Xenopus tropicalis: one gene and its partners. The protein of the gene in region 1 interacts with the protein of each later gene in a biochemical or structural test. Links are inferred from orthologs where the notes say so. Each region holds a gene or a part of one and is shown in the gene's direction. Other genes may lie near its edges.

Evidence for each region.
Region 2: the proteins of slc9a3r1 (region 1) and pdgfrb form a complex in vitro, tested with the Homo sapiens proteins (2 studies listed by BioGRID and IntAct, with this or other methods). The link is inferred for Xenopus tropicalis from reciprocal best matches to the Homo sapiens genes NHERF1 and PDGFRB.
Region 3: the proteins of slc9a3r1 (region 1) and tbc1d10a form a complex in vitro, tested with the Homo sapiens proteins (2 studies listed by BioGRID and IntAct). The link is inferred for Xenopus tropicalis from reciprocal best matches to the Homo sapiens genes NHERF1 and TBC1D10A.
Region 4: the proteins of slc9a3r1 (region 1) and cftr form a complex in vitro, tested with the Homo sapiens proteins (9 studies listed by BioGRID and IntAct, with this or other methods). The link is inferred for Xenopus tropicalis from reciprocal best matches to the Homo sapiens genes NHERF1 and CFTR.
Region 5: the proteins of slc9a3r1 (region 1) and ezr form a complex in vitro, tested with the Homo sapiens proteins (2 studies listed by BioGRID and IntAct). The link is inferred for Xenopus tropicalis from reciprocal best matches to the Homo sapiens genes NHERF1 and EZR.

What each region holds. Positions count from the first base shown.
Region 1 is NC_030686.2:43,958,905-43,963,274, forward strand, and holds the start of slc9a3r1 (Na(+)/H(+) exchange regulatory cofactor NHE-RF1), read left to right. Parts: upstream 1-1,547; 5' UTR 1,548-1,566; coding exon 1,567-1,863; intron 1,864-4,370. UniProt on the Homo sapiens protein: Scaffold protein that connects plasma membrane proteins with members of the ezrin/moesin/radixin family and thereby helps to link them to the actin cytoskeleton and to regulate their surface expression. Necessary for recycling of internalized ADRB2.
Region 2 is NC_030679.2:21,261,294-21,264,703, forward strand, and holds the end of pdgfrb (platelet-derived growth factor receptor beta), read left to right. Parts: intron 1-1,571; coding exon 1,572-1,704; 3' UTR 1,705-2,893; downstream 2,894-3,410. UniProt on the Homo sapiens protein: Tyrosine-protein kinase that acts as a cell-surface receptor for homodimeric PDGFB and PDGFD and for heterodimers formed by PDGFA and PDGFB, and plays an essential role in the regulation of embryonic development, cell proliferation, survival, differentiation, chemotaxis and migration.
Region 3 is NC_030677.2:144,359,027-144,363,317, forward strand, and holds the start of tbc1d10a (TBC1 domain family member 10A), read left to right. Parts: upstream 1-1,470; 5' UTR 1,471-1,497; coding exon 1,498-1,679; intron 1,680-4,291.
Region 4 is NC_030679.2:68,543,464-68,547,115, forward strand, and holds part of cftr (cystic fibrosis transmembrane conductance regulator), read left to right. Parts: intron 1-77; coding exon 78-164; intron 165-688; coding exon 689-1,415; intron 1,416-2,115; coding exon 2,116-2,244; intron 2,245-3,652. UniProt on the Homo sapiens protein: Epithelial ion channel that plays an important role in the regulation of epithelial ion and water transport and fluid homeostasis. Mediates the transport of chloride ions across the cell membrane.
Region 5 is NC_030681.2:64,260,000-64,264,400, reverse strand, and holds the start of ezr (ezrin), read left to right. Parts: upstream 1-1,500; 5' UTR 1,501-1,581; intron 1,582-4,117; 5' UTR 4,118-4,189; coding exon 4,190-4,201; intron 4,202-4,401. UniProt on the Homo sapiens protein: Probably involved in connections of major cytoskeletal structures to the plasma membrane. In epithelial cells, required for the formation of microvilli and membrane ruffles on the apical pole. Along with PLEKHG6, required for normal macropinocytosis.

The sequences.
Region 1 (4,370 bases):
CTGTACATGGAGGACTTGTCTATGCGGTAATAATATTTGCACTTGGAGACATATTAAAAATTCAGCAGCTCACACAGGCAAAAGGGATCCACAAGTGGGCTTTAATATGGGGCTCGCTACAGGGGTGCTACTCTGGATGCCTGGCTCCCCCATCATTCACAGAACCCACCACCAACCAAACTCATGGGGAACAGGGCATCACAGCTGGGTGGGGGAGGGATTCCCCTATAGTTAACCCACTGGTTCTCCTAGTGCACCCTGACTTGTGTGGTTCTAACCGAGGGGCGTTCTAGGGGGACCCCATGTGCTGCACACCCAGCAGGGTTGGACTGGGGGGTGCAGGGCCCACCGGGGCTCCCGCCCCAGGGGCCCTGCAAGTGCCCCAGCCGCGTCCCCTAACCCCCCCAGGGGCCCCCCTAACCCCCCCGCCTGACGTCCTCCCCGAGCGCGTATAAATTGAACGCGTCAGGGGAGGAACAGTCAGTAGGGGGAGCGCCGGCAAAGGTCGGACTGGGCCCACTAGGGCGGCCCAGTCCGACCCTGGCACCCAGTGTTGGACCAGCCAACCATGATACCAGGAAAACTCCCGCTGGGCCCAGGGGTCAGTGGGCCTTCCTGCTCCTGACCATTTGGCCTGTTTCATGGTCATTCCCTATTTCTGAATGGGAAGAAAGAGAAGGAATAGATGGAAGAATAGATGCTAGCATGTAAATAAAACAGACTAGGAGAATAAAATGGTTGTGAAGAAAGGAGGATATTTTGGAGAATGGGCCCATGGTCTTAGGTTCTCTGGTGGGCCCCTGGGGTCCCAGTGCGCACCTCTGCCGCTTCCGAATTCAGCATATATATTGTGTCATGCACAGCTCTCTAGAATGGCACCCCGGTGAGCAAATAACACTGAGCTAAACAGCACAATAATGGTAGCCTCAGTGAGGGGCAGTGCCTGAGGAGCTGTATGAGGCGAGGGGCAGGTGCATGCCAGGGTACTGGGGAGTTGTACTGCTCCCTCCTCTCACATTCTTTGGATGCCTCAAGCTGCTCATTAATCTCCAGTGCAAAGTCCCCATGCTGAATGCACTAATTGCTCACTATTATAAACACTGCTGCCATCATCAACCCCCCCACCCCTCCCCTCACTGGCACAGCTCCACCCTGCTGCCTGAGGTGCTGCAATAATACTCTATGTTCTGTCATACTCAGTTGGGTCAGTCTATGTACAGGTTTATAGATGCTGCTTGGATGTCAAATGACCCATTAAAGTGGTTTCACTGACAGCAGACATGTAAAGATGCCACCTGTGCCTATGGGCCGTATTATATTCCCCGGGTCACATGACTCGGCGGCACTGATTAAACTTTACTCTGAGGGCCCGAATCCCGCGTAAGCTCATTGGAATAGGCGCGCCTCTCTCTGAACTTTCTCCTCCAATCACGTCCCTCGGCAATACTGTCCCCGCCCTCTTATTGGACATCTCTCATATTTGTCACCGCCGCGCCCTCCCTTTCGCTATATAATCTATAAGCTGGCAGAGCCTGAGTTCAGTCAGGCGCAGAGTAGCGGCTCGATATGGCTTCGGAGCGGGTGTGCGTGTTGGAAAAGGGGGATTCGGGCTACGGGTTTCATCTGCACAGTGAGAAGACCCGGCCGGGCCAGTATGTGAGGCTGGTGGAGCCTGGCTCAGCAGCTGAGAAAGCAGGACTGAGGGCAGGGGACCGGCTCATCCGGGTGTGCGGGGAGGATGTGAGGGAACTCGGGCACCAGCAGGTGGTGAGCAAAATCCGGGCAGCGACTGAGAAACTCACCTTGGAGGTACAGGGAGTAGAGGAGGAGGTGGCCCCCAGCTCCCCTAAAGAAGAAAACAAGGTACTCGGCTCAGAGCGAATTATGGGGGCAGCCTGGCGAGCCCACTGCACCTGGTCACATGACTTGCCTACTGGAGTCCTGCTGATAATAGCTTCCCCTTCAGTATGGGGGGGTCGGGGCAGTTTGCTGGCTTTATACGTAGTATCCTACCCCTGCTAAGTGATGCCATGCAGTGCCAGGGTATATACTGCTCTTGCTAGAGTTTCTAATGCTGAACTTGTGTTTGCATAGTGGATAATGTACCCCCTATTGTAAAATATAAGGATATTATAAGTCAGAGAGGAGTTCCTTATAATATATAGTGACTAAAGTACCCCCTATTGTAACATATAGGGATATTATAAGTCCCTGAGGAGTTCCTTATAATATATAGTGAATAAAGTACCCCCTATTGTAACATATATGGATTTTATAAGCCCCTGAGGAGTTCCTTATAATATATAGTGAATAAAGTACCCCCTATTGTAACATATAGGGATATTATAAGTCACAGAGGGGTTCCTTATAATATATAGTGAATAAAGTCCCCCCTATTGTAACATAGGGATATTATAAGTCACAGAGGGGTTCCTTATAATATATGGTGAATAAAGTACCCCCTATTGTAACATATAGGGATTTTATAAGTCACAGAGGGGTTCCTTATAATATATAGTGAATAATGTACCCCCTATTGGAACATATAGGGATATTATAAGTCACAGAGGAGTTCCTTATATAGTGAATAAAGTACCCCCTATTGTAACATATAGGGATTTTATAAGTCACAGAGGGGTTCCTTATAATATATAGTGAATAAAGTGCCCCCTATTGTAACATATAGGGATATTATAAGTCACAGAGGAGTTCCTTATATAGTGAATAAAGTACCCCCTATTGTAACATATAGGGATTTTATAAGTCACAGAGGGGTTCCTTATAATATATAGTGAATAAAGTGCCCCCTATTGTAACATATAGGGATTTTATAAGTCACAGAGGGGTTCCTTATAATATATAGTGAATAATGTACCCCCTATTGGAACATATAGGGATATTATAAGTCACAGAGGAGTTCCTTATAATATATAGTGAATAATGTACCCCCCTATTGTAAAATATAAGGATATTATAAGTCACAGAGGAGTTCCTTTACTATATAAAAGCATGAGCTGAAGGCTGACTTGTAATATCCTCATATTTTACAACAGGGGGCACTTTATTATAATATCCAAGTTTTAGTGATTTGTGTGACAGAAATTACATCACTGAGCTCTGATTATAACTGATGACATCACTAGGCACCGTTTATAAGGATCCCATAGGGGAGTGATCAAACTGTAAATTATAAAGATATAATCAAAGAGCCATGATTTCCTGTAAAATGGGTTCTTCTACGTGGTGCATAGTGATGTCATCAGTTATCTTTAATTTTAATGATGTAATTTGTCATATGACTCACTGTGTCTATAAAAACCGTACCACTATTATATAATATGATATTAGAAGTCACCATTTGTTCCATGACCAATAGAACGCCTTGTGGTTTTAGACTGGTCATGGAATGCCAACAACCATTGACCTCATGTCCTTATATCAGTGATCCTCAACCAGTGGCTCAGGGGCAACTTGTTGCTCCCCAACCCCTTGGATGTTGCTCCCAGTGGCCTTCAAACAGGGGCTTATTTTTGAATTCCTGGCTTGGGGGCAAGTTTTGGAGGCATAAAAAACAGGTGTACTGCCAAACAGAGCCTCCTGTAAGCTGCCAGTCCATATAGGGGCTACCAAATAGCCAATCACAGCCCTTATTTGGCACCCCTAGGAACAGGTTTCATGCTCGTGTTGCTCCCCAAGTCTTTTTACATTTGAATGTGGCTCACAGGTAAAAAAGGTTTGGGACACCTGCCTTATATGGATCTCTTTAACTTTTAATATCCTTATAATTTACAATTGGGGGTACGCTATTCTCCGTTTAGTGGATCGGCCACACACGGCAGCCAAGCTGATGATGGATGCCGCTGTCATTAGTGGGAAGCAAACTATGGGCCAGAGAGTAATCGGGACCCCACAGGGTATAAGTTCCAGGAAAGGCTTCTAGGAAGGGACTTTATAACAGAGGCTCGGCTGTCTCGGCACAACTATTCTAGATACAAAGTCAGTTGCAGCTCAACAAGCTTTTTGCCCCTGGGCCTTGCCAGCACTAAAGACAGCCCTGGCATGGCACCGCTCCAGTCTGGTGTGGCAGCTTCAGCTGGGTACCTGAGTGCCTCAGTTGCCTGGCATGAATCCTAGACTTGGGTATTTAATTCTTTCTATAGAGAAGGGTATATAGTACCCTATGTGTTGGTGGTGGTGGAGCTGTGCCATTATCCTGGATTGGCATCAATTACCAGCCTATGTACCAATCAGAACCCCCCCCCTCCTCCTCCAAGTAGAACTGACATATGTTTCTGAGTAATGCCCACTTTATCTAGACCAATGATCCCCAACCAGTGGCTTGGGGCAACATGTTGCTCCCCAACCCCTTG
Region 2 (3,410 bases), on another chromosome or scaffold:
TTTAATGTAAAAGACCTTTTATTGTACAGAGCTGCAAAATAATGGCCTTCTATAAACACTTGTTAATAATTATAAACCATACACTGTATGAACAATTCTTACTTGGCAAGGATACCTCATGTGCTTATTATATACCAGGGGTCCCCAACTTTTTGTTGGGTTATTTGTAACCCCTATGTGGACTGGCAGCCTACAGGAGGTTTTGTTTGGCAGTATACATGGTCTTAATGCCTCCAAAACTTGCCTCCAAGCCATAAATTTAAAAATAGGCACCTGCTTTGAGGCCACTGGGTGCAACATCCAAGGGGTGGTGAGTAACATGTTGCTCCTGAGCCACTGGTTGGGGACCACTCCTGTATACATGTGGGATGTTTAAAGCCCTCAGTGAATCATGTCTCCACAAAAGGGGAAATATAGTTTCCTGATTACAACAAATAGTTCTGTCATCATTTTCTAATGTATGATTGTATTCTACAATGTAAATATAATGTATTAAAGAACACATTATTGGATTTGACAATTGCTTCTCTAGTCTTGGCTTTTAGCATAGTACCATTAAATAGACCTTTATTCTGTTTGACTTATTCTAGGAAACGTTTCATACTGTCTTACGTTTTGTTTTTCTTATGTGTTCATGTTCAGTTTGCCTTCTTATTCTGTGTTTTTCTGGCCTTCAGCTGAAAATACTATATAGATGTCAGGGTCACTGGCCAAACAACCAAATACCAGGTCAAATACATGGCTTCCAATTTATCCATATACTGTAGAATATGCTGTACTATTTGTATTGGTTATACAGTATTTCTAGTTAGATCCTCTTCTACTAATCTTACATTTAGACTCCAAAAAAGCTGCCTGGTGGCTAGGATATTTAGGCCCTACCAACCAGATAGCAGTTAAAACTCCAAGCATAACAGTTACACAATGAAAAAGTAAATATTTAAAAAAAAAAAATTAAAAATGAAGTTGCCTCAACAGATATCTAGATAATATGGATATAGAATCCATACTGTGGCCTCTTGTAGGGGATCTGACAAGTAGACCCACATATAGATCATGTGTATGGCTGCTTTTATGAAGTTATTTCCTTTACATTTCTTACATTTCTAAGTTTTCTTATATCTTGCTGGCTTTACATGACACATAAGTGTTCCATTGAGAATGAAAAAGATTGGCACAAGTGTGACAATTACTTTTTCAAAATTAAACACAAATATATTTTCTGAAATGACTCTGCTTCTTCAGGCACAAATACATTGAAAAGCTGATTTAAAACTAGCTGGGAAACAAGTGCTAGAGCACTAAGGAGTGCAAATGCCCCTCTCACCAATATGAATTAAGCTCTGGACTCCTGAACACAATCATTTTCCATTCACAGTTGATGCAATTTTTAAACAATTTCCTTAAATCCAACTATACAAATTTGGACTTGTACTTGGTTCAGAATTTGGCTAAAACATTTGTGAAGGATTCTGTAAGGCAAATGCAAAAACTGTGGATTTGGTACTTTCCTGGTTAGATTTCTAAAAAACTTTTAAAGCTAACATACTTTTTATATTGTTTCTTCCCAGCTCTACACTACAGGAAGGCAATACTTCATCTACGATTTCCTGTGACAGCCCCTTGGAGCAGCCAGATCAGGATTTAGAACATGACCCATGTCAAGAGTGTCAACAGCAGGACATAGAGGAGAGTTTTCTGTAGCCGGTGGATACTTTTGAACTGATCATTCTCAGATAAAGACAATTGAGAGTATTTCAGCATTATGCCAAAGAGTCAAACAGAAATGATAAGACCAAAGAAATGCACTTTGTATTGGAGCAAAGCTACCATCTACAGAAATATTATTGCTTGCTCAGCAAATGTCTACAGAGCACCTTTATTGGGAAGGAAGGATGGTTTTGTAAATATGAAAAGGTATGAACTGCAAGGTACTAGTGTTTTTGTTTAAAAAAAACTGCAAAAATAACTATATTATGAAGAAAAGAATATTCTACACACATTTGACATTTATCTATGTGCAATATTTTGAAATCAGCTCTTGCCGTATACAGTATGTGTGAGTCATGTAGTCCATGTGCCCTCCTTACGCTTGGGAAGGGAAAGTTCAGTATTTGCGCAAATACTTGGAAATATTGCACAGAGGATGAACTCCTAGAACCAATCAACTTGCACAACTCTAAACAGATATTGTTGCTTCTCACACACTGATTAAAGAAATGGACCATCTTAACAATTTAAAAAATACAGTCATTTCTGAGAAAGGACTAATCAAAACCGACCTACAAGCCAGAAAAAAAGGGAAACACTGTCCAACTGAATATAAATTGGAGCAGCCACGCTGATACAATAATGGACCTCAACCAAATGGCAGTCAAATGAAGCAAAGCAGTAGGTGGAGCAGCAATTATCCCCAAATCGGCTTGTAGAACGGTTTATCCTCTATTTTTTTCTAAGCAACTCGTTTTAGTTTTTTTTCCCACCAAAAGGCAAATATGTTGCTTAATGAATAACCTATGCTACGTATACATTTACGTATATTTTCTATGCATCTTTTTTTCCAGCACTAAAGGTAGACCCTATAGAAAGATATTCTACCTTTACTTGATATTTTAAGCTGTCTCAGGCTTGGAAAATCTTTACCTAAAGCTAGTCAATCATGTAATATCTCATTAACGCCACCTCCAACAGCCTACCCATGGAGGGATCTCATCATTAAATTTCTGGTGTATGCTGCAGCACCCATTTCCCTGCTATGAATGCAGTGCCTGATAAGAAAATAAAGTACAGTGCCATACAGAAATAGGCAATCATGCACAAAGAAAAAATACGTTGGCCCTCATGTTTCCATTTACAAAAAACAATGCGTTAATACATTATTAGTGCCAGATATACAAGACTCCAATACCAGAGCTAGAAATACCAATATCAAAGGTGCCAAATTATGAAATTTATTTCCAGGGAAAAACTGCTTCTTATTTGGTGGGTAACACAAGACTTGCTCCTGGAGACTGGTAGAACTTTACTTTGTTTACTGGACCCCCTTCATGTACAATAGCCTCATCTTCAAGGCAAGGTTCCCTTGGAGTCTGTGTACACAACATTTTTGTAAGTAATTTTAAAATAACTTTGAGTGATGGGTGGGTCCTAGCAAGTTCCTGGAAGCTATAGAGAGAGCAGCCATTGCCTCTAGGAGCTATGGAACACAAGGCAGATTGTATATAGGAAAAGAGCTTCTACCAACCAAAGGTCTTTTTCCTGTTAATTTGAAACAGAAGCACAGTAGGTCCCACAGTACTGGTGCTTGAACACTGCCCATCATGTTTTCAAGTGCTTAAATGGCCATGCAAGTTGACTAGTGTTGACTAGTGTCGCCTATTTAAGTGAAATGGTAGTCAGCAGTAGGGGTT
Region 3 (4,291 bases), on another chromosome or scaffold:
ATAAATAAGCTGCTATGTAGCCATGGGGGCAGCCATTCAAAGGAGAAAAGGCACAGGCGCATAGCAGATAACAGTTAAAACACTATTGTATTTTACAGTACTTATCTGTTATCTGCTATGTAACCTGTGCCTTTTCTCCTTTTTTCCAGCTTGAATGGCTGCCCCCATTGGCTACACAGCAGCTTATTATATAAATTATAGTAGGGTTACTGTAGCAAACACACCAATTTTACCAGTGCAGGGCAACAGTACATTATATTTTTATTACCTTTAAGATCTTGTAACACCAAACTTTTTATGTAGCCCTTTGATGCCCATGTCCAAAATAATATTTTTCCTTGTATTAGGCCAGAAATATTCTCCCTCCTTGCAGTCTTTTCTTTCCAAGACTGACACCAAGTACACCATCTCATTTTTGGACATAGCAGTAGGCTTTCTCCTGTCACTGTCATCCTCCAAAGCTTGATCCCTCATGTGCAGCTTGCATATGGCGTCTGAAACCAAGTTTTTGTTTGTACCAAAACCTTTTGTTTGTTGGCCAATTTGTGACTTACCTCGGTATGGAGAGGATCTAGTGCACAGCAATCCAATCTTTGCATCTGAGCGTTTGGCTGAGGGACACCTTTACTGGCATATTGCAGCAAGCATTTTATGTTTAAAAAACACACCTAGGCCAACTTTTGTTGGTTCTGTTACTTAGTTTTGCTGCAAGGAAACCATTATTGTAATAATAATTTATTTCAGATATTCCCAGCTATAATAGATCATGCCATTGGAGAATCTTATGAACCCTGAATTCTTGAGAGAATTAAGATGAGGAAAAGTTTGTGGCAAAAGCATAGCACTCCCAGATGCAAGGTAAAGGGTAAACTGGTAAGATGGATATTCCAGTTCCCACAGTAAAAGAGACAATAATGGGTTCTTAAAAGCTGTAAATCCAAAATAATCACAAATACCTTACAAACACCTAGTAGTACTTAGTAAGCAAGTCATAGCGGCATTTACTTGGCCACAAAGCTATGGGGGCTCTGAAAGAAGTAGGTGTGGGCGGCGCTACCACAGGATATACACGCCACTGGGCGGGCCAGGGCTGATTGAGACTTTCAGTGTTTGGAAGCTTCTGTTGACAGGAGACATTCCATAGAGATTAATAGAGCATTGGTTAGCTTGCCTAACCATAGATTCTATAATGGGTGGGGCAAATTACTGATTGGCTCCGTGTGGCCAAGGGGCTGGGGATTTGCTTTTTCCAAGCGAATACTTTGCTCGCAACTATTTTCCAAATTTTGATTGGCCGGTGAAAGAGATGTTCGCGGGATTGGTCTCATGTCGGAGGATGTCTTTGCTGATTGGCTGCGTGTAGTCTGTAAGGTTGGGTTTCTCAGAGAGGCCCGAGAGGTGTCGGCTGCTGCTGTTGTGGGGTGAACCGAGTGTAAGGCGCGGCGGGGGGATTAGGTAGAGCAGATGGCTCCGCGGTGTTGAAGCGGTGGAGCCGACATGGCGCGGAGCCCCGGGGAGGGCAACGCGTCCCCATCCGCCAGTTTACGAGGTACTAGGGAGACTCTGAGTGACTCCGAACTAGAGTCTGTGGGCTCAGACTCCGAGATCAACGGGTATGTAGCAGAAAGGAGGACCGACCGGTACGGCTTTCTTGTGAAACCAGAGTCCCAGGGAGAACCGTAAGTATCAAGCGAACCCACTGTAGGGACTGTTTGCGTCTCTGACTGCGTTCGGGCATCAGTATTTGTCTGAGGGGGGATAGCTAGGAGGGAGAAAAGTGAATGAATGCAGCCAGGTGGAACTGGACAGGTCGGAGCTTTCTGGAAGATGAGCGAGAGTAGCAGTGGCGGAATGTGCATTAGCAGGGCCCAGGGACGTGTGTTCCTGCCAGAATGTCCCTGGGATTGGAGAGAGGGATTACACGCGATTTACTGACACTTTGGGATTATAGGAAAAGTGTCAGCTCTGAGGGGAGTGGGAATCATTGGGAGGTGGCGAGAAGTGTCAGTGGGAAGGCGGTGGTTTGTGCTGTAGGGCTGACAGTGCTGCTACTCAGGTGCTGCTGATGTGTCACTGCCGTGTGTCATGTGGACTGCGGGGAGAATACTTGGACCTTTAAACTGGGTTCTGAGACAAGTGCCACAGTGCTTGATTGTGTTTCTGGCATTTGCCTGGCTTTTGGGTAAAAGATAGTGCCACTGTGTGTTTGAGCAAAAATCAGAAGCAGTATTCACACCACTATGTGTTGAGTTTGGCAGTAGTCAGAACAAGCATGTATGTGAGTAACTGAGCCACTGTGTCTTCCGAAAGTTGCATTTTATCAGTAATAAGGGCAGCATAGGTATCATCAGTCAAGGCAGTTAATTTACTTTATCAGAGAGAGAGAGAGCTTTTTATGGAGATTGTCATTTCTTTACCATATTCCTACAGCATGCTGTGGTCAGTGTCATCATGAGACAACCTGTCTATATGTTTTTAAACTCTAGAAGGAATCTTATGCAGAGAGAAAACATAGGAAACCCTTGCACATAGTGACCTGGCCACAGTCTAACTTAAGGCCATTGCTAACCTCTATGATATTGTGCCACCCACTTTGCAAAAGGCCATTGTGTTTATCATGGGAAAATTGTTGCTGGTCCCACTGTGTTTTGGTGGGGAAATCAAAGCCACTGAATGTACGTGTCACATGTGGTAGCAATTTCTAACAATTAACCTTACTGATACTAATGTCTTGTTATAGCTCTATCCCCACCATCAGGGTAATATATGTTATATGTTGAAAAAAGTTTCAAGTGCAGGACTTCATTCCTTGCAAACATGTGTTTATTGTGCCATTGTGTATCGAATGTTTGCAAAAAATGAAGTTCTGCAGCTAAACCTTATTTTAAGTGTGATGGAAGTTAGTGTCACTGTCAGTTGCAGTCAGTCAGTACCACTGTTTGTGTATTTTTGGATAGTTAACTCGGCACCAAGGTCAGCAGTTAATGACATTTTGTATCTGTGCTTAGGAAGAGGGGCACAGTTGACATAAATACATTGACATAAGTGTAGGGGCAAAATGGCAATAACAGATTAGTGTGGGGCAGTGACCATTCGTGTACGGGTAGCGCTAAATAGGTCATGCTTCAGGCTGGGGGTGGTCCAACATTTATTCTAATTGTGTTTCATTATGTGAGCAGTCTCAGGGCGTTCAACAAAAAATAATTAGCTGCTGTGTATGGTAATGGGCAGGAAGTTTGTATCGTTATACTACACTCAGGGATTAGGAAGTATGGGATAGTGCAAGTTTAGTTCCCTTAACCCAGTGAATAGGTTAAACAAATGTGGAACTAGTAGTCAGTATTTGCTTCTATTGCTGTGGGGGGTTGTTGAAAAAAGCATGTCTGTGCCTTTAGGGGGTTTCATTTGTCAATAAAGTATTAAATCAATGCTTATATGTTTGGCAGGGAAACAATATGAATATTGTATTCAGTAACAACCATAGAACTGGTCGTTAGGGCTATTGTGATTCCCAGTAAGGTGCTAAGTGCTGTTATGTCCATAAAAGGCGATGGTTTCAGAAAGAAATGGCATTAAGTAAATTTCCCGGCAAAGGGGTTAGTTTTCATGTGAATAAATGAGTATACTAGCCTGTAGGTTTTATTTTGTTGGTAGATCACAACACTAGCAAAGGCTAAGACTTTACTAGTAGCACAAATAGTGAGAAATAACAAATGTATCATCTAATTATAGAATGCAAAAAACTTTTGCTACCCCAATATTTCATATTGAAGACAAACTACATTAAAGAAAAATATACCATGTTTTTTATATGAGCGCCTTCAGTTGGGCTGATGTAAAAATGGTGCATAAACACTATCTGAACTACCAAAAAAAAAAAAAATAAAATAAAAATAAAAAAAAATATATATATATATATATATATACATACATACACAGATATTTTTTACACAGATATAACTGGCTGGTGTTCAACCCCTTAGGGTCCAACTGTAATGCAATACCTGCCTCACCTTGTTTCGTTGTAAAGTGATGTATTCTGAGGCTTGAGGTTCCATTGTTTTCCGTAGTGGCTTGTGCACAGATTATCTGGATAGCAGAGGGACCTTAAACCCCAAAATCCATCACTTCATTATGGAACACGGTAAACATTTTGCAAAACTGAATTGCACAAGGGGCTATTCCCAGAGTTTTGCTGCCCATGTGATTTCTGTCTTGGCAGGTAGGAACACTGGGAAATACACCTCCTTGCAAGTTAGGTGATTATGAAGAAGCATGGCGAATACCAATA
Region 4 (3,652 bases), on another chromosome or scaffold:
CTAGTACACTTATTAGTGTATTACTCTTATTAGTTCTTATGTCCTCCTAACTGTAGCAGTGTTATTTTTCTGTCTAGAGCCGTATACAAAGATGCTGACCTCTACTTGATGGATTCTCCATTCAGTTATTTAGACTTGTTTACAGAAAAAGAAATATTTGAAAGGTATGTAATCAGCTTTATATAAGCACATATAAACAGGATTGATTTGCTTTATGATGATTTAAATTAGTGCTGCATATTGATTAGATGGTTAAAAAATTGGGTGGCACAGAATAAATAATCAGTGCAAAGTATTTTAAAATGCTGAGTAATTGATTTTCATAGAGATAAGAATACTAAAGTTTTCCATTAGCCAGAACTTGCAGTAAGACTTTCCTTTTGCTATTACTGGCTAGAGTAACAGAATGTTGTTTAATAGTTAAATAAAAAAAACAAGCCATTTAGCTATATATATATATATAGTATGTATTTATTATAGAGAAATGTGCTTATTTATCAGCAACTATTGATTTTTACGTTTAAACTGAGACATATCAAAGTTAGTTTTACTTTATCATTGATCAAATATTGTACTTACCTTGTAAACAAGACTGTACCATGGCAAAAATCCAAATTATATATTTGTTTTATCTGGCATATTACTGTTAAGCTAATAATTGGTAATGACGGTTTATTTTGATTTTTAGTTGTGTTTGCAAGCTAATGGCTAATAAAACAAGGATTTTAGTTACATCTAAAGTTGAACAGCTTAAAAAAGCTGACAAAGTGCTGATTTTGCATGAAGGAAGCTGTTATTTCTATGGAACATTTTCTGAACTTCAAGATCAACGTCCTGAGTTCAGCTCTCATCTGACCGGATTTGATCACTTTAATGCAGAAAGAAGAAACTCTATAATAACTGAAACCCTGAGAAGATGCTCCATTGATAGCGATCCAACAGCTGTTAGGAATGAAGTCAAGAATAAGTCATTTAAGCAGGTTGCAGATTTCAGTGAAAAAAGAAAGAACTCTGTTATTAATCCTCGGAAATCCAGCAGAAAATTTTCTATCATGCAAAAAAGTCAGCCACAGATGAGTGGAATAGAAGAGGAAGATATTCCCCCTAATCAAGGAGAACGAAAGCTTTCATTAGTTCCTGAATCAGAACAGGGAGAAGCCAGCCTGCCTAGAAGCAATGTTCTTAATACAGGTCCTACATTTCAAGGCCGCAGGAGACAGTCTGTACTAAATCTAATGACTCGCACCTCTGTTTCTCAAGGTTCCAATGCCTTTGCAACAAGAAATACATCTGTTCGTAAAATGTCTGTAGGTTCTTTCTCCAACTCATCTTTTGAAGTGGATATATATAACAGACGACTTTCACAAGACAGTATTTTGGAAGTTAGTGAAGAAATCAATGAAGAAGATTTGAAGGTAAACTTTTTTGAATATGAAAGCATAGCGTGTAAGGATTCACTGTCAGTTTTAATATTTTCATTCTTAATCAGAATGTTAAATGTGTTGGTGATAAAATACGCACCTGATTAAAAAAAGGCAAATTAAAACTATTTTGTTACTAATGTTAAAAATGCAATAGTACATATGATAAACTTCGTATGGAAGATCAACTTTAGGGATCATAGGTCAAGTTTCAGACCATTATGCACCAGCGTTATCTATATGTGACAGACACATATTTTATTTTTACAATTTTGTAAAAAGTTAATATTTTTTCTCATTCATCTATTCTTAAAAGCTCCTTCTTAGCTTTAGGACCACTTTGGGCCTATAGTCTCAAGGAGAGAGAGAGAGAAGGAGTAGAATGCCAACCTTTTATATTAGAATGAAAAATACCTCAAGATATGTGTAAAGAGTCTTCATAGTTGCTTTCCTCTATTCATTTCCTTCATGGTGCATCTTGTAGTCAGGATAGACCAGTAATATTTAACTGTATTGGCTATAAACTATACCCTCCTACGTTACCCTATCTTATGGGAATTGTAGAAGAGGTACTGGTATTTGGTGCACCCCTAAAGCCCCTTTAACATGTCAAGGAATGCAGGTATTTTCATCCACATTAATGTGCAGTTGGCCTTGACATTGGTTCTAACAGGCTTTGTCTCTCACTTTGCAGGAATGTTTCCTGGATGATACAGACAGCCCATCACCAACTACCACATGGAACACATATATAAGATTCCTTACAGCTCACAAGAATTTCATTTTTATTCTTGTATTTTGTATAGTGATATTTTTAGCTGAGGTAAAAAACATATTTCTGATTTCTAATTTTGAAAAATATTTACAAAAGTCTTTCCTCGCTATTAAAGTGATACTGACAAAAAAGACTACTTTTTCAATTATGAATCTACATAAAAAGTTACCTATAGGTCATGTTGATCATTTTTTGTTGATAGGATTGCTTTTATAAGCCATTGCTACTTGAAGTTCCAAAACCTGACTGTTTTGCCAACCTGACTGTCCCTTCTCAGCCTGTAAGTTATAGCTTCTCCTCATAGAGGAACATGGGGGATCAGATAGAGAATGTAAAAGCTTTAGGAATTACTTTTATGGTGAAATTATAAAGCTCATGCAAAGACAGTTTTATGATGTAAAAAAGGTTTCAGTTCTGGTGTCAGTATCTCTTTAAGGCAATTTATGCAATATATTGAATAGTATCTGTTTTAATATTTAATCTTTCATTACCATTTCTCTCTGGGGAGTGCTAATAAGTAAATTGCTAATCCTACCAATAAAAAGGGGGACTTTTTTTTATAAACCTTTTGTTCTTCTTTTGACTATCTGACAGGGCAACCAAATGATTGGCTAGATTCTTACACTAACCAAGCCCACACTGACCAAGAAGAGATCAGTGACATCAAAGTTTTTTATAGGGTTATAATGTCTTCTACAGCTCTCAGAACTCTAATATGTCCCACAGTCAAGTGTCTACAATGACTACACTTACACCAATGTTTAGATCATCCTCGATATAAAAATATCTTGTTAGAGACAGTTATACGCCTTGGGTTTTTTTTTATGTGACAAAAAAAAAATAAATCTTGAAAATGATACATGTATTTTTGTTAAAGTCAACTGTGCCACAGTTTAAGGGGCTGATTTACTTACCCACGAACGGGTCGAATGGAGTCCGATTGCGTTTTTTTCGTAATGATCGGTACTTTGCGATTTTTTCGTATGTTTTGCGATTTTTTCGGATTCTTTACGAATTTTTCGGATCCAATACGATTTTTGCGTAAAAACGCGAGTTTTCCTATCCATTACGAAAGTTGCGTAAAAAGTTGCGCATTTTGCGTAGCGTTAAAACTTACGCGAAAAATGCGCAACTTTTCGCGTAAGTTTTAACGCTACGCAAATTGCGCAACTTTTTACGCAACTTTCGTAATGGATACGAAAAACTCGCGTTTTTACGCAAAAATCGTATTGGATCCGAAAAATTCGTACAGAATCCGAAAAAATCGCAAAACATACGAAAAAGTCGCAAAATATTCGTTTTCAAGTCGGAACTTTTCCAATTCGGGTCGGATTCGTGGGTTAGTAAATCAGCCCCTTAGTCTTGTGCTAATATCACCACTGTGGGTAGGAATTTGCTATGAGCTGAGATTCTGAGTTTCTGAAAGAGCAAATGCACCTAAGGAGATGTCTTTGCT
Region 5 (4,401 bases), on another chromosome or scaffold:
TTCGAGTACTGACTGTACTCTTCTTCAGGGACAAAGTGGTTTGTCCCTGAAGAAGAGTACAGTCAGTACTCGAAACGTTGGATTTTTTCAAATACATTTTTTCACTAATTGCTAAATCCTTGTGCGTGCGGCTCTCTGTCCTTATATTTCCTCATTTTGCCAGCACCCAGGGCATTTGAGCCTTTATAGGGTGTGCTCCACTTCCTTATATATATATATATATATATATATATATATATATATATATATATATATATATATCTAGTATATACACTGAAATTATGGTAATCATGCCCTTTATTTATTGCAGTGCAATTTTATTTGTGGCCCACTTCATATTCCTGTTGGGTCCTTCTAAGCCATGCTAGTGCTTGTTACAACAGCTCTTCCCACTGGTAAGTGTTTCCCTCAAGCTAATGGAACACAGGGATATTTATTAAATTTGGGCTACCATGGGTGACAAAGCTTCCCAAAATGTTTTTAAACCAGAAATAAAGTGAATCGCCAGTGGGAACACATATGTGGCACTTTGTTTTTCTTGTGACTTTGCAATTGAAGTGCCACATATGATAAGCACTTTTCACCCAAGTAACACGTACAAGAATTGTGAATTGCTTTTGAATGCTTGTCTGTAAAAAAAATTGACTTTGATATTATAAAAATTTTACAGAATCACACTATGGGACCAATTCACTAAAGTGCGTTAAAATTATATAGCATGCGTTAAAAATTTTATCGCTTCTTATTTTTTGCGACAATGCATGATTCACTAAAAGGACAGGCGTCATAATTTAGACGAGATGTTCTTTGCGTTAACTTGCGATGAGCATTTTTCTTGCGTTATTTCCCGCCACGTGCATTATTTCCCGCTGCACACAATATATATGACCACGTGCGATATTAGTGCACGATTTAACATATGTAATACATACTTGAAAAAATCCCACTGCAAAGTCCATGTTGTGTTGCCAAAAGCTCATGAACCACAATTTTCTTTAAGTACTGCCTGCCCCAAGTAGGTGTTAATTTTCGCACAGACTAATGCGATATTTAGCACATTTAACGCTTCATATGTGTTTGTGAATCATGCGTTAGTATTATATGTATGCGAGAATTAACGCAATGCAAGGTAAATAACATTAAATAGCGTTTTTTTGCGCATGCGATATGCGTTTTAATGCATGCGAAATTACTTTGATGAATCGGTACCTATTTATCATGTGCTTTTTAATGCAAAAAAGCATGCGCTAAGCATTATCACACTTTAGTGAATCAACCCCTAACAGTTTGCGCCCCTCTATACCTGTTATGATACAGAGCATCTTGTTGTATTTATATCTTCTCCTGTACTTTACTCTAGGATGTTCCCCCTCCCAGCTCAGGCAACAGCCGAGTGCATATGCTGGCAGCAGGGGAGAGGCAGGTAGGCAGAGAGTTTCACAAGAGAGGGAGTGGCAAGAAGGAGGGACCTGTGGGACAAAGTTGGCAGTTCAGCCATATTGCAGCCAGTGGGGAGAACAGGAGAGCCCAGGGAGAGAGCAGCAAAAAGAAGGTACAGCTGGTTGTGTACAGGAGGAAAGAGTAAGTAGCACATGCTTGATTCTAGGTTATTTTTGTGTATTACAGCTTAGGATAAGTTTCTCTGAGCACCCTGTGTTTTCTGTGAATTATAAAGGGAACAGACTGGCAACAGGTGTTTACAGGATTAGCTCCTCACATAGACGTCCACAGGAGGCAATGGTAATGGAGTTTTTTCAGTTAAGCAGGGCAAAAGCAAATGTCCCTTATCCCCATGATAGTGTTCAAGAACACAGAAACTACTAGTTCGCTGATTCTCTTCTGATAATATTGCAGGTGTCTTTGAAAGCAGTAACTGCTTTGTTACTTTGTTTCTTTTCATCACAGCCTGGTCAAATGAATGTTTCAAAGTATTACAAAATGGGTCTGCTCCAGTATTGAGGGAGTGGGACTGAATCTACTTCTTTCTGTGTGTATAAGAGCGAGACTGTGAGTCTGGCTGCATGTCTGTGACTGTGCATTGTTGTGCTGTAAATGGAGGAACATGATTACCTGTGACTGCCTCACTAAGGCAACTTACCAAATTACAGAGTAAAACACCCTGAATTAGTTTCTTTATTAGAAGGTATATTTTGTGATTTCTGTATCATGTACCGTAATTTCTGCTATATTCTGGGTCAGTCTTCTCATTGATTTGCAGCTCTGTTCATTGATTGGCAGTTATGTTCTTATTTGCCAGCTTTCCTTCTGTTCATAAATCTCTTAATATAAGACATTTATTAATCATTAAACTTATATAAGGCAATGGCTGCCCAACATTCTACATTCACTTTTTTATTTAACCCATATAGCGTGGTTATGGGCCATCATATCAGTTTGCTTTTCTTATATCAGAAGTTATTATTTTAAAGAAGAACATTTACCACCCTATTATGTGAAAATTTAGAAAGTTCTCACTCCTGCTAGGGTTAGTTTTTGAGTGCTGTAGTTCAACAATAGCTTGAGGGACATTTTTTTTGAAAGCACAATGTAATCTGCATAATATATACATAGTTCCTGGAACTGGTGCCATAAGTACAGGAAAATCAGATGAGTTCCTAAGGACCTGATATGTTCTTTGATATGGAATAGGAAACTGTATCCCCTGTAAATTTAGAGTAAGCTTTAGGGGCAGGGATTAAAAAAAATATATATATATCTGTGTGCACAGATAGCATGGTTGTTAGTGCTTTACATGAATTATACATAAGGTTATACAGCCAGTTCCCTTTCACTTTAACTCAGCTTGTGCATTGAGACACACAGGATTTATTTGCTGATGCTGCTCGGGCCAATTGTGGCTGTCCTATAAACCTTATTGTCCCTGCAACAGGTATTATACAGCTGGACATGAGAAGGAAACACCTGCAGCATTTTATATGTATTCATTAACTCTTATATTACATTGTTCGTTATATACAGTATCCTTGTGTTTGAATTTACTTGGTAATAAAGGGGCAGCTTTATTTTATGATTATTACATAATAATAATGTCCCCTTGGGCATTTTAGTGTTGAACTCTTGGGAATAATGTTTGAGCACAAATGTGGTAATGATGTGTACACTGACATAAAGGCTTTTCAGTTTTTCAGTTTCATGCAATATGTAGTACAGTCTAGTTAATCTTAGCCTAAAGTTTTATCCTGAGATGAGATAGAAGTTAGTTACCAAAGGTCAGGCATGTATGCCAAATGTGATTTCAGATGAGCCACATCAATAAGCAACAAAGAATTGACACCCTAATATGCCATATTTCAGTCATTTATCACACACAAAATCCTCATTCAAGGCACAGAATATCATGCTTTGTGAGCCGGGGAAAACAGAGGACTTGTAGTTCACAAGACATTTTAAAGGAAGTTGTACAAACTTGGAGAACAAGTTATAAGCTTAGCCAAGGTAAAGGTGGGGCCGCCTGCAGCTAATTCAGCTTCCACTGCTAAATACTAGACTCACCTTCTCTATTGAAAATCATTGCATCACAAGGACATGGTGGGCTGCATTTATAAAGAGACTCATTCAGCCCTAATTATAGCGTTACAGTTATGAAATAAATGTAGTAGAACCAGATTTCTCTGAGATACATGGCTCATCGAACTTTTAAAGCATTAGTGTACTTAATTTCCTGTCTGTTTTAATTATCAGTCAGCAGTAGCAAGTGTCTGTGGAAAAACAGTGAACTAACAGGTTCATTACAACTCGCATTCATCAGAAATAAAGCTGGAAGATGTTTACAGCATTCCAACACATCCCTGTTTCTCCCCAGCATCCTCACCCCTACGTCCTTCTCATGTAGCTAAATACTTCTGTATGAGGCACCACATTAATATATGTTTGGGTTTTTAGGTTTGGGAGAATGACAGTATTTTCCATGTTGCAGATGGGCTTTCTTTCACCTGAAACTTTTTAGGTTTAGTTGGATGACTAATTTTATTACTGATTCATAGGTCTAAGAAGAATATCTAAGTAGGCAGGGAAGAGATTCAGTAGCCATTTAGGGCTATAGGCAATTAGTTCTTACTTTTATCATTTATCCCCTTTACCAATTTGCAATTTTCAGGACTGGCGCTAAGCAAGACAGACTTTATATCATTATTACTACAAGGTGAAAGGAGTAGACGCATAACTGAAAATGCCAAAACCGGTAAGTCCGACTCATTATTGTCTGTGCTAATATTTTTCAAAAATCATTTTGAAATCAGGATCAACTGTTCAGTTGTTGTAATCAGCTTCTTCTGTGTCAATATCACTAATGTCCCAAAACTTATTTAACAGTGTCTTTAAAAAGCAGAAAAATGGCATTACCAGTTCTTCTTTAAATGACCAGTTTGGGTCTTTATGTGT